7 linked regions of the Nothobranchius furzeri genome follow. The protein of the gene in region 6 interacts with the protein of the main gene of each other region in a biochemical or structural test. Links are inferred from orthologs where the notes say so. Each region holds a gene or a part of one and is shown on either strand. Other genes may lie near its edges. The genes, in order: bag2, arfgap1, CUE domain-containing protein 1, rps15, synj1, lrrk2 and matk.

Region 1 (4,175 bases), on a different chromosome or scaffold from region 6:
AATTCGGTATGGCATTTTCCCATAAGACCTCTCCTTGCTGCTTCAAGCAGAGTCCATCTGAAATTAATTAAATGTGTAAAAGCTAACTATAGCTTTCTGTGAGGTTAGTGGAATTCAAGACACCTCGGCAAAGGGTCTCAGTGACCCCCGTTAGCTTTTGTGCCCTCCAGTTTTTGGTGATCCATTATCTTGATGTTCTTTTCGGCATTTTCAACGTTCCTCAGCAGAGTCTCCAGCCTTCGCTTTATCTTCTTCTGGTCCTCCAGAGCGCAGCTGATCACCACGGTCTGAAACTTCTGGTCAATAGGGACGAGCGGTGCCTCCGTGACGCAGGCAGCGTGCAGGGCCAGCAGCTGCTGACGGCCACCTTCCATGTCGCTCAGCAGCTTTTTCACAATCTCGTCTATCATAGACGTGGCCTTGAGTAGTGCATCCTCCTGTTGGGGGTTTCTGATTGTGCCAACAGAGATCTCCACAGACAACGTTCGGCCCATCAGACGGTTCGCAGTCAAAGATAACTCTTCCCTCTCACCTAGAAGACATGTAAACATATTACTAAATCTTTATAGGAAAGAAACTGCTTTTAATGCGGCTGTAACAGCACATCAATAGTCATTTCATATTTCTAAAAGTTTATTTCAATGAGTACAAGCTCTGATTTGTCTGAGATCCCACCCCACACCATAATACTGCCCCCACTGAAACCTGTTAAGCAATATTCATGATGTTCTCCATGATTCTGCCAACTTGTCAATAATAACAAGCTGACACCAAAATACCACTGATATTAATTGGAAGAAATGAATGCAATAACATTTCCAAACATATTTTTTATTGGGATGGACGATGTTTCTCTGGAGCATTTTTTGCCATATTGCTTGTTATGGTCATCACATCGTACAGCAACCAATAAAGTAAATGCTTTGTCGAAAAACTAATAATTTTCATTTCCTCTGAAACATGCAATCCCGTTCTTAATGACTGAATCATGATCCATCCATCAAACTCCCCTCTGACAGTCCCTCCGCTGTATGCGCATACCCGTATTTGTGGATGTATTGCGCATTCTTGGCTTAGAGTAGTTGAACAGGAAGCAAAGTCGGAGCCGGACTGCCTAGTGTTTAACGGACAGAATGTTCGGTTATGTTTGCAAATTTTATTCAAAGATTAGGTTATAACTCATCTTTTCTTGTCATCTAGAATCTTCTGGTGCTGATCTGTAACAGGCCCTTTTGCGCCATGAGAATCTATCGTGGCTGCAGGAACTGAAGTAGGGATAATCCCAACCCACCTCCCCACCTAGTGGACACTTATATTGTGTAATGCCTGAAGTCTGTTGCATCTCTGTCGGAGGTGGGTGTTTTTTTTTTTTTTGCATAGCAAAGCTGCCTTCCCAGTGGAGGGTAACTCTGAAGTGCCTTTTTTTCCCTCCACCTGAACCAATCCTCATGTAACCCTCTGATCTCAATTAGCACGACTCAGGGTTGCGAATGACCACAGTCACCAATTCTTGTCATATGTCTTGCCCATGTATGTCTGATCTCTGAATTGTGTGTACTGAAACTCTAATTTCCCTCTGGGATTAATAAAGTATCTTTGATTTGATTTTGATTGACACTCACGGCAGTGACTTTTGCTTACAAATGTGGTCTGCAGTAACCAAATTTGACCACAGGATGTCAGTCTTACATAATGCACCTTTACATAAAGCCCTTCTTTCAAATCCCTGACCAGTTGAGAGGAGTTTCTAGGTGAACCATGGAGCTCGTGTGAATCATACTAACTTACATTAATGAGGTTTAATGGAGCATAAACCAACATGACTAGACGGTCTACCCTGGTCAGACTCTGGATTTAAATAATGAGCTTTAAGGGTTAGGCCTTTTTGTCTGTTTACAGCGGAACCAAATCAATAAACCAGATGTAGGCTATTGACTCACACGATCCAGAGGTGAAACATGAGCCTGGTTCACACAAACTGGGTCTGGGTGAGATCAGAGGAGATGGGATTCTGGTAGAAATACATTAACCGTACTAGTTCCCCTTTATAACCGCGTATCTTCCCTGGCATTAAGCCGTGCGTGACTTTTGCGCTTATGTAAGTTAAGAGAGAGTTAGCAGCTTCACCAGCACAGATGTTCCTCATTTCTTGACTGTTCTGTATGGACTGAATCATTTCCAGGATGCACTCCCTTTCCTGCTCCATGGCAGATGCTGCTTCTCGTAAAGCCTCCACTCTGACACAGAAAGAGAGACAGCATATGAAATAACACGCTGCAAACCAGTTATGTTTGTTATGAAAAACATTTATTGTCACATTGCCCTGTTTACAGTGTTTATAAAAGGTTTATGCCAATAAATGTTAGCGGCCGGGGCAAATAGCGGCTCCGTAGCACACATGGTACAACAAGGGCCTGTTACCTCGTTTCCAGCTGATCCAAACTTTCCAGGAGTCGCCCCGAGCGGTCTGCCATAGAAAGCGTCCTGCTGAACTTGCTGCAGAGGGCAGCTTCGTTCATTTTCGCTTGTATTTTCGCTTGAGCCATAATGAAGACGAAGATGATGGCTACAGTGCTTTCCCTCGGTGAGCGCAAAATCCAGTGTGTGTCCCTCCGAGCCGTCCAGCTGGGTGTAAATCCTCGGACTGAGGCAGGCAGCAGCAGCGCCCCATGGGGGGAACATTTCCTAACATGGACTTCCTTCACTCCGGCAGAAAGTTCCCGAGGAGACCAGAGCTGGAGCTCCCAATCGTAAGGAGCGTGGACCAGCAGAGGTCCGTGAGCAAGCTCCTCCAGGTCCACGGAAATAAAAGACCTATAATGTTCCAACTCACTTTGCAGTTTTAAGTAATGTGTCTTGATTTATTTGGGCATAATTTTTATTAGGCAGATTGGTAAAGTAATCAAGTTATTCTGATAAACTTATCCAGGCCTATATATATATATATAATTCATTTTCACTCCAGACTACAGATGAAAGCCTGTGGTGGTCTGCAACCCGCAACTCTGGAGCCACAGTGGACCTTCCAGAATGGCTTTTACTTTATAATAATCATAGATATAATAGAAAAAGTGAGATTTAAGCAGCCTTTTGTTATGGATTAATTGAACTGAATTCCCACAACGCAGTGACACCTGTCATCTAGAGGTGAAAACTGCATTACACCCCTAGGCCTCTCAGTTTCCATGATTATGGCCTTTTTATGAACAGTCATGTTGTGCTGTTTATCATGTATATTTTAAAGACTTACTTGTCCATAAGAAATGTTACCAACTCTGCATCAGTCTGGGCTCGTCTTCCCTCTGATCACCTCTCCGTCCAATCTTCTTTTCGAGCTCCCCATGTGTATGTCGTTTGATGGCTTCCGGGGGAGCTGATTACCCTTTTGGGGGAGCCGTGATTTCAACCTCCCCCAAAAATCGCCAAGAAAATTTCAAAAAGATGTATTGCCTTGGTTATCACAGTACAGGCTTTTATGGATTAAAAGAAAATCATAAATAATTCTTGGAAGGGGGGAAACTCCAGGTTGCTGCTTTAAAGTACCCATGAGATTTTTACATCTATTTTTTAAAAATAATTTCCCTAAATATAAATATCTGGTACAAAAAATACATTCATACACTTTTGGCAAAAGTTTTCTTCCTAAACTCAAAATCTAATAGGAACAAAATGGTGTAAATATTTATGAGACGTCTAACCTTAACCTCAGAATTCTGATTATTTTTCCCTCAGAAAAGAGAAAAAGAACTTCTTCTTCAGTGGCCCTAATCCTTTTATGTAAATAGTTCAACAATTATAAAGATCTTGTTTCAAAAGGTCCTGTAACAGTTACCCATGGTCCAGAGAAGCTGTGGTGGACGTCCCTTAAGGTGGCCACCCTAATGCGTCATTCCCTGTTTTGGGGACATTTATAGAAATGATTAACAAGAATTATTTTGGGGAAAACTACATCCACACAAACAAGGTGATCCCAAACCGACACAAGCAGATTTCACAAGCTCTTGAAAAAAATTCCATCTGTTCATTAGAAGTTACCTGTTAAACTGTAAATCAGCACAAGTGCATAAAGGCTCCATCTGAAAACTTCACCAATATCTGAATGAAGTGTAAATCAAATTTAATTTACACACACACAACTACCTTTTATGTGTTAAAAGTTACAAGACATCAACACA
Region 2 (4,255 bases), on a different chromosome or scaffold from region 6:
ATCCTGTATAACCTCATTATTTAAAATCTATTTAGCATTACACTGGCATTAAAACCATTATTTCTACAAAAATATATTTAGCTTTTCCTAAGTTAAAAGGTAATATTGCTGTTTTCTTAGTGAGTTATCTAACACAGATGAGTTGCTACAACTACCAGATAAGTTCTCCAACCAAATGTCACCTGGCAGAGATGTTTCCGTCCAAAATGACTCTCCATTCATTTGAATGTTAATGAAAGAACCTGTTTCTGAAGAGCTAGCAGAAGGTGCTTTACTGAAAGTCTGCCAACCAAACGCTACCCTCTGTGTGAAGAGCAGCAGGGTGGCATGATGGGGCAAATTTAAGCCACTTACGTTATTTTCATCCTGTGTTCTCACTTCTTTCAGAACTCTTCTGGTCCTTGGACTCGCCATGATCACCCACACTGAAAGAGAATTTTTGTAGATCTTTTATTAACATCAAAGGAAAAAATGTAACTTTTAAACCAATAGTATTTCACACACTAATTGTAATTATAAGTGATTGATCCACAAGCCTTCAACGGCTGGATGGCACTAAACAGAAACTCTCGTTTTGACGTTGCATCCTAAAACAAACCTGGACCGACTCCAGACAGCAGACTTGCTGCTATTTAATCGCTGCTTGCTTGGAAAGAAGACGAGATCAGCTGGCTGCAGCTAAAAAAACGTGGTTAATTCTTTCCGGAGATAAGTCACCTAAACACTCATCAGATCACATGCTTTTGGAGATAACTCAAGAGTTCTGCTGACATATAATAAATCGAGTTTTTTTTCCAACAAACACGGACAGATTTCAAATGGTATTATATGATGACTAACACTGATCTCCCATCACTTATTTTAAGCTGCTGGGACAATAATAATAATAATAATAATAATAATAATAATAACAATAATAATAATAATAAGGCTTTGACGTGCTGGAGGGACTGATAAGTTGTAGAGGAAGTAGCTTAGTTTCACTAATTGCAGTCTTGATTCTGGGATGCTCCCTGTCACGCTGTCAGTGGAACGCCCTGGCAAAAATAAGACTGGTAAAGAGGAGGAAGAAGAGACTGGCAACAGCTAAGTGAGAATGGGATCATAATATCCTCGGGGCACAACAGGAGTTGTCAGAGTTTAGACTCAACCAGGAGCCACAACCGTACGGTGCCCTCTTCCAGGTGGATTTCAGGCTAAATTAACAACTTTTGGCAAACAGTCAATTCCACCCAACCCTGAAGCTACTGGCTTACTCAGTGTTCACCAGACACACTATACATCTCCGTGTGTACATTTCTCTGAAGGTAAATGCCAAAGTGTTGTCATTGAGCACTGCACCCAATATGAACTTTCTTTAAATTTAGATTTTGGCACAGATCTGACCTTGTGCTTCACAACACACAAACAAACCCAAGAGTTAAGTAAGCTCAAGTAAGTCTCCAACGAACTCGGTGGAAAACTTCCTCCAAGTTGGAAAAGATACATTTCTCAAATTAAGGGGTCGATATCTCAATATCTTATTCAGAAGTGATGATAGCATGGAGCTTCATCTGGAGAAACACACACTCTACCCCAGCGTGTGGTGGTAACGAAGAAGCTGAGTCAAAAAGCTAAACTTTCCATTTACTGGTCCCTCCAGATTCATGTTTTCATTTGTGATTTTTACTTGTGAGATTTGGATCATGACTCAAAGAACAAGATCCCATAAACAAAGTGGTGAAACTGGCTTTCTAGTCAACAGCTTTACTGGCCTCAGCTTTAACTATAAGGCGGGGAGCTCATTAAAGAGGACACAAAACCAGAATCTGCTGGACCAACGACAGATCTCCCAGAGCCTGGTAGAGCCTCGGAATACCACAGGATTTTCCAAAGAATGACAGAATGATGGAGCGAGAAACAAATGAAAATGTGAATGGCAGATGCTAATTAATACTATGATTACTCGAAATTAAAATACATATAAGCTACAAATTTATGGCATATCCACATATCACAAATGATTATGGTTTATGTTAAAGTGCCAGAGGCCAGAGAGGGAAGTCAGATTATCAGGAGTGAATCAGAACGCAAATGGCTGTCAAATAATAAACCTTTCAGCAGTGATTTAAGAACGTTCAAAAAGCAGCTGAAACTGAAAAATGTAGTTTACATTCAGATTTTCTACAGAAAACTACTTATTCCAGACGTGTTTCCCTCTCAGATTCATATTGAAAACAGTTTTTGGTTAGTTAAAATAGCTTTCACTATTTATTGTTGTAAAATTTTTAACGACCAAGACTAAAATGTAAAACGCAACAGATGTTTTTGTACTTGCTGTAACCCGTAAAAAAACACCAATTTCAGAAAAATTCATTTCGGTGACTGTCATGGTAACATTCCATTTTTCCTCAGTAAATTGTAGTCGTGTCAGGCTTCCTCTCACTAGTAGTCTTGATTTTATTCACAAGTTATGTTGAAATCAAGCAACGTCTTGACATAAGTTGGTGACGCGGTTAATGCTCCTAATCTCGGGTAATATTTAAAAGCGGGGCTTCGTAATAGACACAAAACTGATAAAAATTCAGTGAGCTGGCAGATTCGTGATGCTAATGTAAGCTAGCCGCTAGCCGTGTTACCTGACAGACTGGTGAACAACAAGGACGCCGCTTTCAGACTCTGTTGGCTCCGCTGATAAACTCCCCGGAGGATTTTCTTCTGTCGCCGCGGAGCTGCAGATGTCGGGCTGTCAGAGACTATCGGCTCCACAAAAGAGTAATTAAAATACCGCCGATGTTAAAAGCCGGTAGCCGTGTTCCTGTTTGCATACGTTGGCAGAGAAATGCATCATGGGTAAAGCTTTCTTTGTGATCTTTTACATCGGAAGTGCGTTTAAAGTGCGCGCTACTGCCCCCTGTCAGGATAGATTGTTACTACTTTTGCTCTTGAAACAAAAAACACAAGAATAACAGATATTAGACGTCATAGATGTAATAGTAGCGACAATAATGATGGTGAAGCACTTTTCAAGATAAAAATCACAAAGCGCTGCACAAGCACATTAGAATAATTGAAAAGACAACAATGAAGGTTTTAAAAAAATTAAAATCAAGAAAACCTGACAATACAGAAATGAAAGAAATAAACGATTGGAGCTCGAATAAAAAACGTGACTAAACATCAAGTTTTTCAAAATGTGATTGTTTCATTACTAAACTACTCTATTTAGATACTGCTAATCAAATGCAAACTCTTTTTACAGTGCATTGATATGGAGCTATAGCTACAACATAATAACAGCACAGCTTCATGCAACGACTGCATTATGTTTCAAAGGAAAAATGATTGTGACTGATGATAATGATAAGAACCTGAAACAGGATGTAACTTTACACAGCGGCAGGTTAAATGAAAGACAGCCAAGTCAAAGTCAAAATAAGACACATTCAGAACACAGTGCATTATGTGAAATGAGATTTACTGCAGCTTTTGTGGCATGCTGTCCACCTGCCACAATCACAATGTCCCCCAAGGTGTCTAATAAATAAATAAAGAATGAGACGGGGCATGGGAAGTCAGGTTTCATTGAAGGAGATCTAGTTTTTCCGACTCAACAGATGCTGCTGCAGCTCAAATTGCTAAATGGCCTAATGTTGCCTCTGATAGACAAGTGCTTAATCACACTGCACATAGCGGTTTATTGCACAAAACTTCACAGGTCTAGCTGAGTCCATACCTGACCAGGTGAGGGTTTGGGTGTAAGGATGAGCCAAAATAAGGTCAGCTATAGCAAACTCAGTTGTAACATTGAACCTGGTCAGTGTAGAACCAAATTCAAGTTTTTGTTTTATCAAAATATCATAAGAAATACTCTTTTGATGAAGCATTTTTTCTAATTATCTTCTGCAAAACAATCAGCATAAGCACACAAATTGATTATATCCTTCTCATGACCTATGACTGACCAGAGCCTAATCCATGGAAATCACAATCCATTCAAATAAACTCTGCAGACATGAACTTATGAACTTATGTCATTTTTACATAATTACGAATAACACAGTAGAAGATGATCATAATAAACAAGTCATTAAGTCAGGTCAAGTCAAGGCAAATTTTATTGATATAGCACATTTTCATGGCAACAGCCATTGCCTCAAAGTGATGCACAGATAAGAACAATGCACAAACATAAAAGACACAAAGCATAAAAGAAGCAATAAAAAAACTGAAAAACAGTCATAAAATTTGAAAGCCTAAGACACATAAAACAGAT
Region 3 (4,199 bases), on a different chromosome or scaffold from region 6:
CAGCCTGGGCGGGACTGCGAGCTGTGGAGGCCGCTGAATCGTTCCAGGAGTCACTGTGCTCTCTAACCCAACGACCTCCCACCCCTGTCCAAACGGAGGTGACGAGCGCTGCTTATCGCGGCTGCATTCACTGACGTGTGGAGAGTCCCAAACCCCACCTAGTGGACACTTATGTTGTGTAATGTCTGAAGTCTGTTGCATTTTGAGGTGTTTCTTGCAGAGCAAAGCTGCCCTCCCTGTGGAGGGTAACTCCAAAGTGCCTTTTTTCCTCCACCTGAACCAATCCTCATATGTAAACCCCTCTGATCTCTATTAAGGTAGCGCGACTCAGGGTTGCGAATGACCACAGTCACCAGTTCTTGTCATGTGTCTTTGCCTGTACCTATGTCTGATCTCTGAATTGTGTGTACTGAAACTCTAATTTCCCTCTGGGATTAATAAAGTATCTTTGAATTGAATTGAATTTGAATATGACCTCTAGTGGTTTGTGATCTGTCACTAGATCAAACTGTCTCCCATATACATATGGATGTAGCCTCTCACATGCCCACTCTAACGCTAGGGCCTCCCTTTCTGTTTGAGAATACCTTCTCTCACAATCTGTCAGACTCTGACTTCTGACTCTGACTGGCTGCCAGTCAACTTCAGGGTTCATTTCAAGATCCTGGTTCTGGTCTAGAGGGCCTTACATGGACAAGCACCATCTTACATTGGTGATCTTCTTAGTCCCTACACCCCCAGCAGGTCCCTGAGGTCCAGTGATCAAAGCCTACTGGTTGTGCAGCACCAGGCTAAAGGTCAAAGGTGACAGATCATCTGCTGCTGTGGCCCCCAGACTCTGGACCTCTCTCCCCCTGAGCCTGAGACCAGTGGACTCAGTGGTCTCCTTTAAAAAGCAGCTGAAGACTCACTTGTTCAAGCTGGCTTTTGTATGACCTTCTTCACCTCTCTCTCTTTATTCTGCTCTCCCCACCTATTCCACCTTCCTCAGGATCCACTGGTTTCCCTCCTTCCTGTTCACTCTCCCTCTTTCTTAACATTTTTAATCACAATTGTCTATTTTTGCTCATTTTAAATATATTTTTAAACATTTTCTAAATGCTTTTTTATATTTTTACATTTTTTTTGTGACGCACCTCGTGATTTTTATCTTGAGAGGCGCTATAGAAATGATATTTTCTTCTTCTTCTACAACCACGTCCCAGAATGCAACACATTATCACCTGTCTGTGATCCCAAGCCCAACTGGTCATGGCACAATGTGGAGCTCACACATTCACTAGAATGAAAAAGACTGATTTTGTGAGGGGGGATCTTTGGTGCCACCCATGCAAACAAGTGTCCCCTGGGCCACCCAATTTTACATGCCCTGGACACGCCACTGTGGTCCTGGAAACCCTTTAGTTGTCCTTATTTGTTTAAAATATATTCGTGTCATTGTAAATCAGTGGTAATATTAGGTTTAATTTCAGAGAAATCATTTGTGAGCGCGCGCCCTTCCCTCTCTCTGGACCTGGAGCATCCGGGTCCTGCTGCCTCCTCCTGTGAGTAACGGCCGCAACATTCCGCTTTTGTTCTGTTTGCTTCCCACCTGCTAGCCGATTCTGATCAAACAGCGAAGCAGGTTGAATTCTTGTTATATGCAGATGTGCTTACATGTCGAACGTGTTCGGTTCCGATTAGCCACGTTTCGCTGACGTGTGTGAATATTCGCGACTGAGACTTGCTGAGAAAGGCCTGACGTGTTAGCTTGAAGAGCTAACGCGTAGATACTAAACAGTTTACTGAATGTCCGCAGATGTTGTTACTCATAATCAGTGGCACTGATTATATTTACTTTGTTCTTAATCAGCCGATGTGTGAAATATTTTATATCATTTCCTAAACTAGCCGGTTAGCATCCCACTGATGATGGGACAAGCTTAGCCAGCTAACAAACAAACAAACAAACAAACAAACCCATAACAGCACATCATTTATCACACTTACATAATAATAAATATAATATATAATATAATAAATATAAATGGTGAATCAACAAGTCTGACTCAGATCAATGCATTCCTAATCAGAAATCACGTTTAATATCCAGATATCAAAATGTTCTTTAATAGAAAATATTAACAAATCCTAACTCAAAACACCAAATTATATTACAAAATAAATATTGCATTTTCTTAGTTTTCATCATTTTACAAGCTGTTGTTTTAGCCTAAAGTTTATTTTAATTGTCAGTTGAATTAGTCAGATACATATTTTGTGACTTTAGAAAATAATTAGTGACTGCTGAGAGGAAAGTATTGTTCAGATTGTTCAAAGAAGAGGAAAAAGAAGTAATTTATATTTATCTAAGATTTAGTGAGAAGCAGCCTCTTAAGTCCTTGTAACTGTTAACGTCAGACCTCTGTGGACTGGACCTACTACAGCCCACTGGTTTTGGTTCCTCTCCCTGTGTCGGCTGCTCGTGGGGCATGCTCTCTGGGGCCTCATTTATGACTCTTTGCTCTGAATCTTTACTAAAAGTCTTTTTAAGCTCAGCAAAACATTTGACTTATGTAAAGTAACTTCCTGTCCAGCCTGATTATAACAGATTTGGCTCATTCCCTTAAGTAGACGTAGATAAAGTGGGATGTGAACGTTTGGGCAGCCTTGTTAATCTTCATGAGTTTCCTGTATCGACCGTTGGTTGTTACGATAAAACATGTCTGTTAAATATGTCATATAGCAGGAACACACAGTGATATTTGAGAAGTGAAACAAAGTTTATAGGGTTTACAGAAAGCGTGCATTAATTGTGTAAACAGAATTAGGCAGGCACATAAATCTGGGCACTGCTGTCATTTAATTGATTCCAAAACCTTTAGAGCTAATTATTGGTTTGGTAAGGTCAGTGACCCTTGACCTCCATACACAGGTGACACGTGGGGGTCTGAAAACAACTCTTAAATGACCTAAAAACTAATTGTTCACAATCATGGTTGAGGGCATGATGATAAATGATAAATGAGCCGCACTTGTACAGCACCTCTCAGAGTGAGGACTCCAGAGCGCTTTACACTACAGTGTTGCATTCATCCATTCACACACACATTCACACACTGGTGGGGATGAGCTACGATGTAGCCACAGCTGCCCTGGGGCGCACTGACAGAGGCGAGGCTGCCGAGCACTGGCGCCGCCGGTCCCTCCGACCACCACCAGAAGGCAAGGTTAAGTGTCTTGCCCAAGGACACAACAGCAGAATTCTCTGTCCGGAGCCGGGATCGAACCTGCAACCTTCCAATTACCGGACAACCCACTCAACCTGTTGACCTTCTGCTGCCCCAATAATAAAGACTCTGCACAACATAATATGTTGTTTATGTTGTTTATGTGCTTAGCAGACATAAACAACACATAATAATAATATAAATCATGCTCTTCCTAGAAATGTGCTGATATGACTCTCCTAAACACCCACATCCTGCTGTAGATGTGCAATATAAAGTACCTTCATAGAAATAAACCAGCTGATGTTACATTGCATGTTGTTGCAGCAGTGCAGGGGGTTATGGAGCCACGGAGATCGCAGTGGACTTAAAAAAAACAACCTAAAAAGGAATTGGTCAGATCTGAAGGTGGAGGCAACGTAGAAGATGGCAATAGTCATTAGGTGCGTGTCCTTTAATGGAACGTCAGGATAAAGGCAGTGAGGGCGCAACTGACCGGGACAACCGAAGGCCCAGTCCTCCTAGTTGTTGTGTTTCCATTTACATTTAGGCTCGGTAAGGAATTAGTTAAAACGCAGCACGACCGCTGCGTTGTGAGCTATGTCATCGATTGGTGCAAATCACGCAGACCCCCCCCCCAAGCACGGAAGCCAAACGGTCCGCCTAAAACTTCCCTCCCAGGGGAAACGCTGATATTTTCCAACTGAGTTACAATGAATGGGCAGCGTTCCCGCCCACCAACTGCACCGGGCCGCTCCAACTACCTACCCCTCTTCAGGTTCTTGGAAGGTTCCTGAAGACGGCCGTTCAGCTGGCTCGCTCAAGTGGACACATGCACGTTTGGAGGTTATTATAATGATGCCATCCAAACGGCTCCATTTTGGTGCTCGGTAGATAATCATGACATAAGAGTATAATTAAATTTAAATCGACGAAAATTTAGACAGGAAATTTTTCATCACATCAAACAAATGTACTGGCTGCCCGTAG
Region 4 (4,144 bases), on a different chromosome or scaffold from region 6:
GGTTCCATCAAGCCCAGACAATTCCACAAAAGGGAAGAGAGGAGGAGCTCAGGGACACCAGGTTATCTTCTGTAAAGGAGTTTAGTTTGAGCAAATGTACTGCGCACATTTGGGGGCGGCTGTACAAAAGACTCTGCAAGCTATTTAGGTTAGCAGTAGTTTAAGTTATAATGTTAAGTTTTGATGTTTATAAATTGTGATTTTTATACAATGCATTTTTGGGCCTTAAAGGTTACCATAGCTTGGGCCGTGATGACGTAATTCTGTAAACGAGTCCCGCACGGTGTTGTAACGTTGCCTTATAGTCCTCCGAAGTCAGACCAGTCTCACCTTCATCAGCTGTTAACTTTATTTTCTCTCTAAGTGTTTTTCTCCCCAGAAGAAGCTACAACGATGTTCTGCTGAGCTGTGGTGGCCTCATGGAGGGGGCCATCGTCTAGCACACTGCTGCTAACCACTTAAACATTCTCCCTCTCCTGATAATAACTTTTTACTCTCTTTGACGTTGGATGTGCTACTGCTAGTTTACCCGTTTAATTATAGATCCACTAGGATAAATACAATAAAGTTTATCTCTCACCAAATAGAATATTTACTAAGACATCACAACATTTATGTTTATGTATTTAGCAGTCGCTTTTGTCCAAAGCGACTTACAAGTGATAATTGGCATGTAACAATGTAACCATAGAAACAATACTTGGTATACATGTTGTGGGGGGGGGGGGTTGCTGGTACCTATCTATCCCCAGGAGGGGTACACCCTAGACAGAGTGCCAGTCCGTTGCAGGGCTCCAAATTCGATATTGGTGAAAATGATTGTACCTTCTGTTCTAACAATATAGAAACTGAAGAACGTGTTTTTTTAAACTTGTAAATATACAAAAATATTCTGGGACAGTTTTTGTCTGTGGGCTTCAGATATTTAGGTATAATTTATTTGTCCTATAATCATGTTAAATTTGGAGCTATTTTGGAGGACAAGGAAAAACAATTCACAGTAAATAATTTGATCATTTTAGCAAAATTCTTTGCACACAAATGTAAATTTGGTAAACCTTCCTTTATTGTTTTTCTGAAGGGTCTCGTGTCTCTTTTGTTGCTCCAACAAGGCAGTAGGTATGATAGGTTTGTCTGTCACCCCTGCATCTTTGTGATGCTTTACTCAGCTATCATTATGAACGTTAAACATACATCCGTTTTCTTAAATGTTAGAAAGTAAACCTGTAAGCTTTGTTGTTAATAAAGTTTAATTTTAAAAAAGTGGTGGAAGAGTCCTTCTAGCTAATCAGAGGCGAGAAAGGAGGGATCTTCCTTGGGCATCCTACGATTCCAAATAACGCAACCCGCGTGACTCTTTCATGTCCTTCTCGCGATATCAGGCGTAACGAGACTTCCGGTCGTTCTTTTCCACCGGATCGTCGGGCAAGATGGTAGGTGTTGTTCTGACGCTAAAGCTTATCAAATGATAATCCTTGTGCATCTGAGCTTTAATGTCATCAAGAGTAACAGACGAGTTCATGGTGCTGTAGGTAGACATCTACAGCAACGATTTAGTGGGATATTGTGTCGTAATGACCGGTGAAGCTACCATCGGGAGGCTAGTTTTAGCTTTAGCTCCAGCCGCCTGTTCACAAACGGGATGGAGACCGGAGTGTGAGGCGTCTGCCGTCTAAAAGCTAATCTAACAGGGTGGTAGTAGAAATGCTAACAAGCACAGCATCGCAGTGGCTGAATGATGCTGTTCTCTCCCAGGCGGATACCGAGATCAAGAAGAAGCGCACCTTCAGGAAGTTTACCTACAGAGGTGTGGACCTGGACCAGCTTCTGGACATGTCCTAGTGAGTAAGCAAGAACAGTTCTGCTCATACGAGCCGTTGATGTCAACACCGGGTCACTTCAGGTATGCACTTGGAGAACGAGTACACACAAGGTCAGAGTTGTGTGAACCGATGAGAACGTCCTGCAGGTGGGTAGTCATGGTTGCAGTCTGAGGGAGATGAGGATGAGAAACGCACAGATCACGTGTGTGTGCGTGCGCGTGGCGGCTGAAGGAAATAGATGTTTTAAAAGTTCACCATCTGTAACTTAACAGAAGATGATGATGGTCGCCTTACAGCAGCAATCCAACTAGACTTAGTTAAGCTAGATACTTGGTCTCCGTGGTTTTGCCTCTGAAGCAGGAAAACGGTGAAAAGTTAGCTTGTTTTCCACCTTTATTCCCCCGGTGATCATGCGTGTGACCCCACCACACAGCAACGATTTACTAGAGTTGTGTAATATAACCCGTCTACTGAATATTAGATGAATTTAAGCTGCAAGAACGAGCCTGAGCGCTGTTTACAGTAGTAAAGGACTTACACGCCTCCAACGGGGCAACTGATGATGTCACGATCACGCCCTGTTACGATTGAAGCTGCGCTCCATAAGGTTTGTAACTGCTCCTAATGGTGTCTGGTCACCATGCGGTCTGGTGATCTGAGCTCCAGCCATCGAAGAGAAGCTCCAGGAGCGTCGCATCGCTCCGCTTTAAGATTTCAGCTGCTTGTGTTTCTCACACAACCACAACTTTCATTTTCAATACGGTTTCCTACCAAAGCTCAACTGTAACTCTACACCTGATCACGATTGTGCCAAGATGAATATGCAGTATCACTACCAAGGACAAAAGCTGCACATTCCCACATCGCCATGCCGCCACGGCGCGCTCATTAGACACCGTGGCGGCGGTATTGCGCTGATTTGCCAGCATGGCGTGTCTTAAGAGTTTGTAACGTAACACAAGAGACTAGTCTACCCTGCTGACTGTACTGTTCCTCTGCAGCGAGCAGCTGATGCAGCTCTACTGTGCCCGCCAGAGGAGGAGGCTGAACCGGGGTCTGCGCCGCAAGCACCAGTCCCTCCTCAAACGCCTGCGCAAAGCAAAGAAGGAGGCTCCTCCTATGGAGAAACCAGAGGTGGTGAAGACTCACCTGAGAGACATGGTCATTCTGCCTGAGATGGTCGGCTCCATGGTCGGCGTGTACAACGGCAAGACTTTCAACCAGGTGGAAATCAAGGTAAGAAGTCATTAATCAGCTGATTGGAGCTGCTGTTTTCTCTAATCAATCTAATTTCAACAGTAGACCTTCTCCTTAACCAGTAGGGGTGTAACAATACTGCAGTGTCATCGTAGTTAAATGACCACGGCTAACGCCTACCCTAGCGGTCAGTGGGAGCTTCATCACCAGATGATGACGGCACTCCCTGGAACATGGAATATGTCAGGGGTTTTTCCTGCATTCAAACTAGCGTGGCGGCCGCCTCCAGCTAATGCTGTGCCGCCCCAGCCTGATTTCACTGCCCCAGCTATATGGATGTTACTTTAACTGCAGTTGCAGCGGTGCGCCACTACAGGGGCGCTGTATCAGCAGCGGTGCACCGAAAAGAACTAAAACCGCAGCAGACAAAGATCAAAAATAGCTTTTCTCGCTAGTTGGTGCATATCTGGTTGGTGTTACTGACGTCCTGATTTCCCCCAGGCTCTTCCATGTCAGAGCAGGGCTGTACAGTGCGATGGAAACAACTGTCTGTGCCTCCTCACAAGGACACAATGGCAGCATCAAACTGAGCGGGGCTCAAACCTGCAACCTTCTGATGAACTCCTGAGCCACCATCAGGATTCTTTATGCTTCGTGCTTCGTGACATTTCCAGAATGACCTTTGGGTTAAAATAGCACAAACCCAGTGTTTCCCTTGAAATCAAACCCCCAACACCCCCGCTCTCACGGCCAACCCCCCCCCCCCCCCCCCCACACACACACACACACGCCTCTCCACAGCTGGACCAACTTCTAGGCCAAACATGTTCATCTTATTTGATGGATAATTTTAGTTTTGAAAGCTCATTTAAATGTGATCTAACCAGTTTTCCATAGGCCACGTTGGAGGTGTTCTACAGGGTTATCCGTGGTTCGTAGTCAAACCGCCAACCCTGTTACTAAGAGATGCTTAGGCTGGCGGCACTGGGCCAAACCCTGCCTGAAAAGTCATGGCGCCGTTTTTAGGCAGCAGAAGCTCCGGAGGTAGAGCGGGTTGTCCAGTAATCAGAAGGTTGCAGGTTCGATCCTGGCTCCGGACAGAGAATTCTGCTGTTGTGCCCTTG
Region 5 (3,189 bases), on a different chromosome or scaffold from region 6:
GCTGACTAAATACTTTTTTGCCCCACTGTAAGTTAATGGTTTTAGAATACCATCAATAACTCTTTTAACCAACACCATATCAATACCGTCACAATCAGTGGAGACTTTGTTGTTACATTTATCAGCAACTGATTTAACTTCCAACTCATCCACTGCTGAGAGGAAGATTGAGTCTTCTACGATGCAGAATCGTTTATGTCCGCATCTTGATGCCTCGATTATTTAATTATTTTCCTCATCTCTAACGTGCGTGCGTGTGTGTGTATGCGTTTGCGGGAGGGTACATTGGAACTTTGTCCCCCCCAGTTTGAAAATCCTATCTGCGCCCCTGGCGTATCACCACTGCTTTGACAGTGAGTGGTGTCTCTGATCAGTGCCAAAAGGTGTCCACAGACATTAATATTATTAAAGGTTTATTCTATTAAAGTACGCCTTGGAGGGAACGGGGAGAACAGCTGTGCGATGTTAAAAGTGGCATGAATTATGACATTGTTGGGGGGGTCTCTGTTGTTTTTTTCAGCGTTGGGAGTTTAGAAACTCAGATTTCAAAGCAGTGTGAGCGTTGCTTACGTTTATTCTTGTTCTAATTCGCTTCAGTAGCAACTCTTGCAGTTTTACAAATGCAGCTTGTTTGGAGAAGTCTGCTGATGTCATTTCCTACTGAGTTACAACCAATCAGCATGAGTTAACCACAAGTCCCGCCCAGCGGCTGTAGCAGACCTTACCTTAGTTCATGTACTTTGTTTGTTCCTGAAACGACCCGGATAATTGGTCCTTTTGGGCCGGCCTGGTAAAATGGTTGCACACGCATGCCATGAAAGTCTGGTAAAATGACCTGAAAGTTCTGATAGTGGAAGTGGGCCTTTTGTCTTAAAGAGGCTATGTTTATAGTTTGTCACCTTTAAACATCGTCATTTGTTCTGTTTCTCCTCTCAGGCCCCCCACCATCTGGACCCCCTCCTGCAGTGAATCCCCAGGTCCAGCCTCAGCCAGCTCCACCTTCCGCTTACCCTCAGCTCCCACCACCAATGCAGCCCACGCTCCTGGCTCCTCTGCAGCCGCAGCAGGCCTCCACACCACCGGCATCGACTCTGCCTGCTGCAGCTGCTCCCACCGTCCCCCCTGCTGGGCCTCAGCAGAGCCTACCCTCTCCTAAACCTCCACCTCGTTCCCGCTCGTCTCACACTCTCCAACCCGACGCCGCCAAGTCTGAAACGGCCCCAGCTGCACAGGTCGGTGCCAACTTGGAGTTTCTGTGATAACACAATATTAGCAACACTTTGTCTGACAATTTAGTCATGTCTTCTAGCAGGAGGTGTTGCAGAGAAAATCTTCTCTTCTTTGACTCATGTTAGGGTAGTTTAGTCGTCTATGTCGTTCTTCCTGCTTTTGTCTCTGATGCATTTGTCTCTTTCTCACAAGCTGGAGAAACCATCTGGGTGAAAAGGTACACTACATTAAACCAGCTTTTTGTCTCATCCTCCATAGCACAGCAGTTCCCTGCTCTAACACCCCTCTGTTTTAGTCCACCGTCAGACCTTTTACATGTTTCTCTTTTTGGAAAATAAAGATTGTTACCATTTCCCTTCACTTGACCCATCATATGCTCTCAACAGCTGCGTTTACATGAGCCAAATTTCCTCAATCCGATTGAAATCCTGGTTGATCGGAATTTCCGAATCTCTGTTCACATGGACACGAACTGAAATGATCCGATCATGCCGTGCGTACATATGCACCAAGCATTTAATCCGATTAAATAGGTTGAGCATGCGCAGAGTTGCCTTTCCCGAAAGAAAAATTGTAAACAAACGCCATGAAACGACATGAAAAATGTAAAAACTGAAATAACTATTCTTCCTGCTTTCCAGATCCATTTATTCTATTTAATATTTTTATTTAGCTCATAGAAGTTACGTTTTCTTCAGTGAGCAACTGCAGATATATGCTTTGCTGCATTTTATTGTTGATTAAAATAAGGGAGGGTTATGTCTCTGCCTCTCGATCAGCTGGTCCGCGGGTCTGAAGTGACAGCTGTGCTGTTGCGCTGCGGCACAGAGCGGGGGGGGGGGGGGGGGGGGGGGGTTTAGACTCATGTTTTATTACTGAGCTCTGTTGTGGCTTATTATTAATAACATGTGACAATCAGCTGAAACTGTTGAGAAAAATCTGTTCAAACAAAATAACAGAAGATGTTCAGAAAGTTTTAGAAGCCTGTGTTCATCATTCACGAACCGCATCTCAGGTCATCTGCGTTTACGTGCTTCTAACACGGACTTTACTGTCGTCCAGAGTATTTAACCGAGGACGTTTTCCTACCCAACATCAGCCTCCAATCAGGTCTGTAAAACCCAGATTATCCTGTATTCTTTACAAGCGCGCCTCCATCACCTGCTGCAGAAGCTGCTGCGTTCAAAGCTGACAGAAACGAGGTTCCTTGCGCTGCAACCCCTGCGATAAACCTGCGTATTTCCAGTACAGATTGGAACATGTTTGTCGAATGATTTGTGCAATAATCAGATTTTTATTTTACTTCCACAAAATGCAAGTTCTGAATTAAATATTACTGAAACAGGGACGGCTTGTCGTCGGATTTAAAAGCCGCCGCGCATTAATTACGCCGTCATTTTTGAAGTCAGGCAGTCCAAATGACAGCGGAGAGGCCCGCTCGCTGTTGCACACATGCGCAGTGGGCATTATTTTACCCCAACAATCCGAATGGCTGTGTACATGCACGTCAATCGGAATGAAGAACGGAATAAACCACCTCTCAGTCGGATTGAAATTTCAATCCGATCGGGCCGAATCGGATCAGAATATTCCGATTGACATGTTTACATGCAGAATTTTCGATCTGATTGGGCATTCAATCTGATTAAATGTGCGCATGTAAACGTGGCTTCTGTGTTAGAGGATTAGAGTGAGCTCATATGAAATCTGTGCTTTATGCTATAATTTTTGCCAAATCTGTTATGTTTTTGTTTATTCTGTTCACTGTGACACATAAATCATTGTTTTAAATCTGCCACATTAAAGGTACCCTTAGGATGTGCAAAAGGTCAAATTCAAAGTTCAATAACTTTATTTGTAACTAAAGAGTACGACCAAAAGATCAATTTAGAGATTTAAAATAAGAAACTGCTTGAATGAACTAGTTACCATTTGTGTCAGTTGTCCAGTGTCAAAAAA
Region 6 (2,337 bases):
TCAGGCATGAAGGAGCTGCTCTTTCATTTTAGCAGCGATCTGCTCTCTCCTCTCACAGTGCTTCTTCAGGTCTTTGACCTCATGTGGCAGCATGCTGTTCCACACCATCAGCACAGACTCCTCATCTGTGAGACACACACACACACACGCACGCACACACACGTAGAGCGAGAGCCTCCCAGCGAGGTGACTGTTTTCCAAAAAGGACACCAGAGGACACATCAGGCTCACCATCTTGATTCTTGTCTCGTGGGAGTCTTCTGCCCAGAACCAGCACCACGTTCTTCCAGTCCAGTGTCTCTGCTCGTGAGAAACCAGCTTTAACACACAGCGTGCAGAGAGTCGTCTACGGGCAATCGCCCCGAGAAGCCAAACAAGAACCCAGCTGGATCTGGATGTTCAGCCTCACTTATCTTTATTTTCTCTACTTTTCTTTGTTTACCAGTTCCCACTGTCACTGCTACACATAACTGCACTTGAACTGGTCTCTGTCCAGTATCACTACAGCGCTCACTAGAGCTGGAGGATGGTGCTGATGGTCTCAGAGGGTCTGATATTAGACCAGTGGTTGTGACCCCGACTGAAAGCTGAAATAATGAAAACTTAACTCTTTTTGTACTTAAAGGTTCCAGATTGTGCTGCTTTAAACCTTTCAGAGCAAAGGCAGGCACAGTTTATGATAATATATCATCATTGGCACTATTGAGATGTCATTTATCTTAAATAGAAGTTAGTTTCATCAGCCCAAATTTATACCGTTACAGCAAAGCTCCGCCCACACCGACAAAACGTGCCTAGCACAGCGTCTTCGGCAAGTCTGTATGGGCTATGGTGGTCCAGCGGTAAGAGCCCAGCCAGCACTCCAACCACTGTACTACCACGTCTGTTACAAAACAAAAAGCCTAAATCTCTTGTGCTGGCCATTATGTGCACCTTTGTAGATGTTTTGTCATTAATGTAGGAGGGAACGGAGAAATGCCTGATGAGGTAAGTGGGATACTTTCTCCTGGAGGCAGGAAAAATCTTCACATTTTAATTATGGCTGAGGCAGAACCATGCATGAATGCAGCCAAAGATGGGTTTGGGGTCTTTCACATGAGAAAATGACCATATCACATATAAAATGCTCCCAAATGTGTTTTTTATGATATGGAACCTTTAAGCTAACCGGTTTAACCCTCCCACTGTCCTAGTGGGTGTGACCCCATGAGGAAAGTTGACCATTGAGTAGGGTTGATGGTTTATCCCTTGGGTCCATGTGGCAGGGGTGAGCACCACCTCACCCCTGCCACATGGTCAACTTTCCTAACGGGGTCACACCCATAAAGACAGTGGGAGGGTTAAACCCCCTAAATCAGTTATATAATGAACAGTTTCTTTGGTCTTATTTGATTAGCAGAGTAACTTTGGGATCCACTGGTTTAGAAATCTGAAATTGTGTTTCTCTGACTTTTGTTTCACGCCAAAATAAAAGAAACTGACCTGAAACTAAATCTAATTCCATTCAGGCTCCACAGCAGTGTTCAGACTTGTTAAGACAATAGTCAAAATATCCAAGTTAAACGTATCCACTGGCCTCTAAAAATCCTACTTTTTCATTAATAAATGCTAAGATGTTTAATTCATCAGCTCAAAAATACATTAAGCATGCAATACTTTAGAAAAAAAAGAAATAACTGGTGGAAAAGGTCACTGAGATGAAGCTCCGTTGTCTAAAGCAGAACATCTAAAGTCCAGCCTGAGTGAAAGGAGGACCTACGTATGAATGCTGAGGTGATGGAGCGAACAGAGTCACACATGGGTGCCGTGACCTGCAGTGGCTGGTGTTTAGAGAGCTCCAGCAGCAGCAGGTGGCCGCCTCTGGTGCCAATCCAGAGAGCTGCAGAGCTCTGCACCAGCAGAGCTTTCACCGTGGCCCAGGAGGACGAATCAGAGCCCAGATCCACTCTGCTGCCCCGCCTCCATCTGCACGCAGAGTCGTTCCTGTGAGGAGATGACACGTTTATATGTGGCTGTGTGTGTGTGTGTGTGTGTGTGTGTGTGTGTGTGTACCTAATAATCTGAGCACAGTTGATGCAGTCCACCATCCTCTCGCTCTTCTTGTCCCAGACTTCAACAGTCGGTGTTCCAGCTTTACTCAGGTACACGTATTTATCCACAACCATTCGGGACACACACGCCTCACTGCTCAGTAGCTTCTGCCTGAGGGAGCACACACACACACACACGCGCACACACACACACACATTAGATCTATGTGCTGATCTGGGCCCGTTGTTAGATCGACCAGCCCACCAGAACCACGCACCTGCAGTAGCTGCACAGTTGGCTGCAGGC
Region 7 (4,143 bases), on a different chromosome or scaffold from region 6:
TCTTCTTCTTCTTAGTTACTTTGTCAGACTGCATGCTTACAAGGCGCACTTCTGCCCCCTGCTGTTTCTTTGAGGTTACATCATTTAAAAACGCAAACATCAAATGCGAAGCTTAATATGTTGTATGTCCCTAAAAGGTCACTGTATTTTAAGATGGCGCATGCCATATGGAGCACCGGTCTGCTTCTTTTGTCTAAAATATTAAAATATAAAGCTAATAATAATGCTTAGAATAAATGCTTGTTTGAATTATCATTAAAAAAAAACAAATTTGAGAATGTGATACAAGAAATTTGATAACTTATAAGATGAAATATCACACATTGGGCCTTTAAAAAGCAGCTGAAAACTCACCTGTTGAAACTTGCTTTGGTGTGACCTTCATCACCAACTTCTCCTTATTCTGTTCTTATTCTGCCTTTCCTGGGATCCACTGATTTCCCTCTTTCCCATTCATTTTCTCTCTCTCTCTTTCCTCACATTTTTTTCTTTTCTCCTTTTAAATATGTTTTAATCATTTTTTAAATATTTTTGTACTTACATTTTTTTTGTTTTTGTGAAGCGCCTCGTGATTTTAATCTTGAGACGCTATATAAAAGATTGTTTTGTTTCTTTACCTACTGTAACTATTAAAATGTTTTATTATATACATTATTTCTTCATATATTTAACTTTAATTTCAACTTCCAATAAACATAAAAATGCCAAATTTCATGATAGTCTTCAGGTTATACATACATTTTTCCAACTTTTTGAAGGTCTTTTGAAGTTTTCTTTTGATTGGTTCAGGAAAACGTGAAGGGTGCCATTAAAATATGGAAAGTGGACACATGAATGACAAATGAAGAAACGCCAGATCTAAAACTTGTTTACAGCAGCAGACAAATGGTGTGTGAAAGTCATGTGAAACAGGACCTGAGATAAATAAGAAGTGTATGATGAGGTTTTAGAGGTATGGGAATCCCTTTATTAGTGCTAAAACACTAGGATACATGTCAAAACGGATTTCTTGAGAATTTGTCATAGATTCAGCTTAAAAATGCCAACAAACTGTGATTTGTTTCTAAACTGTCTTTAACCTGACTGTATAGGAGCAGTTTTGGGTCTGAATAATTCATGGTGAGTAGTCTACAGGTCACAGTGTCGCATCGGTTTAATGATGCTGTTTGGCCTTGAACAGCTAAGGGTATAGAGGAAGCCACACGCTGGAGCACAGGATCTCCATCTCTGAGAGAATAAAGATTGTTTACAGCCTAGACACGCTCGGCCCAAAGCAGTTCTGTTTTAAGAGGTCTTGACCACACGGGGAAATGATGAGTCTGTACTAATAAAAGTTTCTGAAGTTCAAAAGAGTTTTCTCTGTGAAGTGTGTGACGTGCTGCGGTGGTTCACAGGTGACCAGTGGAAACATACAACAGGCTTGTAAAATAGAAAAATTAAACATGTCTGTAAAAAAACTTTGAAAACCTGGCCACATTTTATACAAGAGCTGTTTAAAAGTTTGTATTAGGGGTAGATCTTTGGAAGAACAGAGAGAAATGAGAAATGGGACAGGCCTTTGACAAACATTTTTGTTCAAAACTAGTTAAAAAACAAGTCAAGCTGGTCAGAAATCATAAGAAAATGTTTTCTAACATCTGAAAAAAAGTAAAAGATTTAAAGGAGCCAGAGGACCTTATATATAAAATCAGATTGTGACTGCTTTAAGCCTGCAGATTTAGAACAAAAGAGAACAGATGACCTACATAGGGACCACAAGATCTTAGATGATAAAATGAAGGAAATTATTTTGAGACAACAAGCAGTTCATATTGTTTCTTCTCAGCAAACCGTTTTCATAGAAGAGCAGAATAAGAGCTGACAACTTAAAACAAAACTTGTCTAAATTCTGTTTAACAATTGAGTTCATGATCAGACTCTTATTCTTGCTTTTTCTTATTTACCAAAACCTTCTAAAGGAAATTAAAAGTATGGCTAGTAGTTTTTATATTTAAAAATGACATATTTACATGATCCAACAGTTAATGGGTAGTAATAGTTTGGGATGGATTAAGCCCCAGAAGTTTTGAACAACACTGAAATGTTTGTACTTGAAATTTGTTTTTGGTTAGCAGGGAATTATTTATGCATATCAACAAAATAGAGTAAATCTAGTTGAAAATTACTAAAAGACACGTTTAAAAATCGAAATAAATGCAGTGAATGTGTTTTTTTTTTTTTACTGAAACTGTAACTTTTTCTCAGTGTGTTGGTTAATGAATTAAATGCTATAACAGCTTGCTATACATTTGATAACAAACTCTGGTTGGATAATTTTTACACTGGTGCTGGTGAACAAAAACAACTTTCTATCATTTCATCTTAAACGTATTGTTCCTACCTTGTGAGCTGCAGGGATTTCTGGATGTTCTGTAAGACAAAGAAATAATTAAATTTACATTTTCTGTTTACCTGTAAAATCAGCTGGTTTTGCCCCAAAAGCCGCTGGTACGTTTGTTCATGTTTCAGTACCTGCCGCTCTCTGGAAATATTATTTTCTTAAAAGCAGCCGGATGTGAGATGAAAACTAAAATTCCGACAGCTGTCAGATGGTTTCAAACTGGATTTTCATCTCGTTTCCAGCTTCCGTTCAGCTGTAGCTGTCTCTATTACTAATCCTCTATCCTGGACGACTTCTGATGAGAGACACTTCCTCGGAATTCGCAAAGATATCTCTTATTGTTCTAGGAGGCGGAGTGAAGATTGCGGTTTGTGGTTCATGCATCCTGTCATCGCAACTGCAGCAACAGCACCACCTACTGGACAGCTTGGTGTCACACACACAAACGGTCAACAACTGAAAGCTGACCAGAGGAAACACAAAAGACACTTTGGATGATTTCCCTCACTAAATGAACAAAAACTACTTGATGCCCAGAGTGAAACCTTACATCGGGATGTTGTTAGAAGGAACACATTCTATCAAAGATAATTAACAGGTCTCACATCGCTCTTCTTTGCAGAATTGTTTTAATTCAGCCACTTTTGAGAATTTTCCAGAGCGGCCGCCTCTTTAAGGTCAAACATTCTACTTTGGGGGTTTATGCTCCAGCACAAGATTCATAGTTCTATCAATTACAGAAAGTAGTCCAGGTCATGTAGCAAAGCAGCCCCAGACCATCACACGGTCACCACCATGCTTGTTGGTATGTTTGTCTGACATGGTGTTAATTTTACAGCAGATGTGACAACAAACATTTTCCAAATGACTCTAGGACTTTTCTTTGCAACTATGAGCCAGGTGTTTCTGGTTTTCTTCTTTGGTCAGAAGAGGTTTTTGTCTCGGGACTCTCAGTGATGCCAATGTTGCTTTTTGTTCATCTAATAAAGCAAGACCTGAATTGCGTTTGATTTAGTTATGGGTTGTTGTTCTTGAATTTCTTCAAAACTCACCACGAGTGTCAAACAGGACCCACTGAGGTCAATCCTACAGGTCTAACAGTAACTAATCCTGAGTGTGGACCTGAACTCAGCTTTCCAAATGTTAACCATAGCTGACTCATAATTTCAGAAAAGGCAAATACTTCTTTGAACGTGTTAAATTAAACAACCAAGGAGGCAAAAAATGGCTTAAGAGTGTTTTATTATTTCCCTCCTTAATGAGGCAACACTACAAATACATTCAGACAGCAATGTTCACACTTCCTGTTTCAACAATACAAAAGAGACCGCAACACCCGCTGTAAATAAAATAAGCAATAAGAGGCTATTGGTAAACAAATATGGAACTAAAAACACACAGCAAGTCTCTCAGGTCTGCTTTTAGAAGCCAAAGTTGTGCAACTGTCCTTTTCCTATACAACTCATATAAATGAGACCAAAACAGCACTACCCACACAAAAACAACATATAAATGTTCCTCAAACTTTGTCTTTTAAATACATGATTCAGGCACAAGGAGGAAGGTCAAAGGACTGTAACCGCTATATTTCTACAGATCCCCCCCCCCCCCCCCCCCCCCCCCCCCCCAACTAAATCTTCTCCAATCTGCACATCATCCATTGGAAATAAAAATTACTAAGCATAATTGTACGGCTGCATACTTTATTATGTCTTAAGTGCTTTGCTCCCCAAGCATTTAACTGTGCAAAAACAAACCTCTCT

What was found.
Region 1: the proteins of lrrk2 (region 6) and bag2 form a complex in vitro, tested with the Homo sapiens proteins (2 studies listed by BioGRID and IntAct, with this or other methods). The link is inferred for Nothobranchius furzeri from reciprocal best matches to the Homo sapiens genes LRRK2 and BAG2.
Region 2: of the proteins of lrrk2 (region 6) and arfgap1, one has a biochemical effect on the other in vitro, tested with the Homo sapiens proteins (3 studies listed by BioGRID and IntAct, with this or other methods). The link is inferred for Nothobranchius furzeri from reciprocal best matches to the Homo sapiens genes LRRK2 and ARFGAP1.
Region 3: the proteins of lrrk2 (region 6) and CUE domain-containing protein 1 form a complex in vitro, tested with the Homo sapiens proteins (2 studies listed by BioGRID and IntAct, with this or other methods). The link is inferred for Nothobranchius furzeri from reciprocal best matches to the Homo sapiens genes LRRK2 and CUEDC1.
Region 4: of the proteins of lrrk2 (region 6) and rps15, one has a biochemical effect on the other in vitro, tested with the Homo sapiens proteins (2 studies listed by IntAct). The link is inferred for Nothobranchius furzeri from reciprocal best matches to the Homo sapiens genes LRRK2 and RPS15.
Region 5: of the proteins of lrrk2 (region 6) and synj1, one has a biochemical effect on the other in vitro, tested with the Homo sapiens proteins (2 studies listed by BioGRID). The link is inferred for Nothobranchius furzeri from reciprocal best matches to the Homo sapiens genes LRRK2 and SYNJ1.
Region 7: the proteins of lrrk2 (region 6) and matk interact on a protein array, tested with the Homo sapiens proteins (2 studies listed by BioGRID and IntAct, with this or other methods). The link is inferred for Nothobranchius furzeri from reciprocal best matches to the Homo sapiens genes LRRK2 and MATK.

Annotation. Positions count from the first base shown.
Region 1 is NC_091752.1:19,643,860-19,648,034, forward strand, and holds the start of bag2 (BAG family molecular chaperone regulator 2), read right to left. Parts: upstream 2,801-4,175; 5' UTR 2,547-2,800; coding exon 2,422-2,546; intron 2,238-2,421; coding exon 2,128-2,237; intron 533-2,127; coding exon 138-532; 3' UTR 1-137. UniProt on the Homo sapiens protein: Co-chaperone for HSP70 and HSC70 chaperone proteins. Acts as a nucleotide-exchange factor (NEF) promoting the release of ADP from the HSP70 and HSC70 proteins thereby triggering client/substrate protein release.
Region 2 is NC_091743.1:50,659,459-50,663,713, reverse strand, and holds the start of arfgap1 (ADP-ribosylation factor GTPase-activating protein 1), read right to left. Parts: upstream 2,801-4,255; 5' UTR 2,619-2,800; intron 426-2,618; 5' UTR 415-425; coding exon 355-414; intron 1-354. UniProt on the Homo sapiens protein: GTPase-activating protein (GAP) for the ADP ribosylation factor 1 (ARF1). Involved in membrane trafficking and /or vesicle transport.
Region 3 is NC_091753.1:61,627,391-61,631,589, forward strand, and holds the start of CUE domain-containing protein 1, read left to right. Parts: upstream 1-1,399; 5' UTR 1,400-1,544; exon of another isoform or gene 1,545-1,624; intron 1,625-4,199.
Region 4 is NC_091751.1:72,012,154-72,016,297, forward strand, and holds the start of rps15 (small ribosomal subunit protein uS19), read left to right. Parts: upstream 1-1,344; 5' UTR 1,345-1,430; coding exon 1,431-1,433; intron 1,434-1,755; coding exon 1,756-1,841; intron 1,842-2,824; coding exon 2,825-3,059; intron 3,060-4,144.
Region 5 is NC_091750.1:63,460,071-63,463,259, forward strand, and holds part of synj1 (synaptojanin-1), read left to right. Parts: intron 1-936; coding exon 937-1,232; intron 1,233-1,422; coding exon of another isoform or gene 1,423-1,443; exon of another isoform or gene 1,444-1,447; intron 1,448-3,189. UniProt on the Homo sapiens protein: Phosphatase that acts on various phosphoinositides, including phosphatidylinositol 4-phosphate, phosphatidylinositol (4,5)-bisphosphate and phosphatidylinositol (3,4,5)-trisphosphate. Has a role in clathrin-mediated endocytosis.
Region 6 is NC_091744.1:48,488,694-48,491,030, reverse strand, and holds part of lrrk2 (leucine-rich repeat serine/threonine-protein kinase 2), read right to left. Parts: intron 2,203-2,337; coding exon 2,053-2,202; intron 1,984-2,052; coding exon 1,760-1,983; intron 319-1,759; coding exon 232-318; intron 126-231; coding exon 1-125. UniProt on the Homo sapiens protein: Serine/threonine-protein kinase which phosphorylates a broad range of proteins involved in multiple processes such as neuronal plasticity, innate immunity, autophagy, and vesicle trafficking.
Region 7 is NC_091748.1:57,570,431-57,574,573, forward strand, and holds the start of matk (megakaryocyte-associated tyrosine-protein kinase), read right to left. Parts: upstream 2,801-4,143; 5' UTR 2,512-2,800; exon of another isoform or gene 2,452-2,511; intron 2,410-2,451; 5' UTR 2,381-2,409; intron 1-2,380.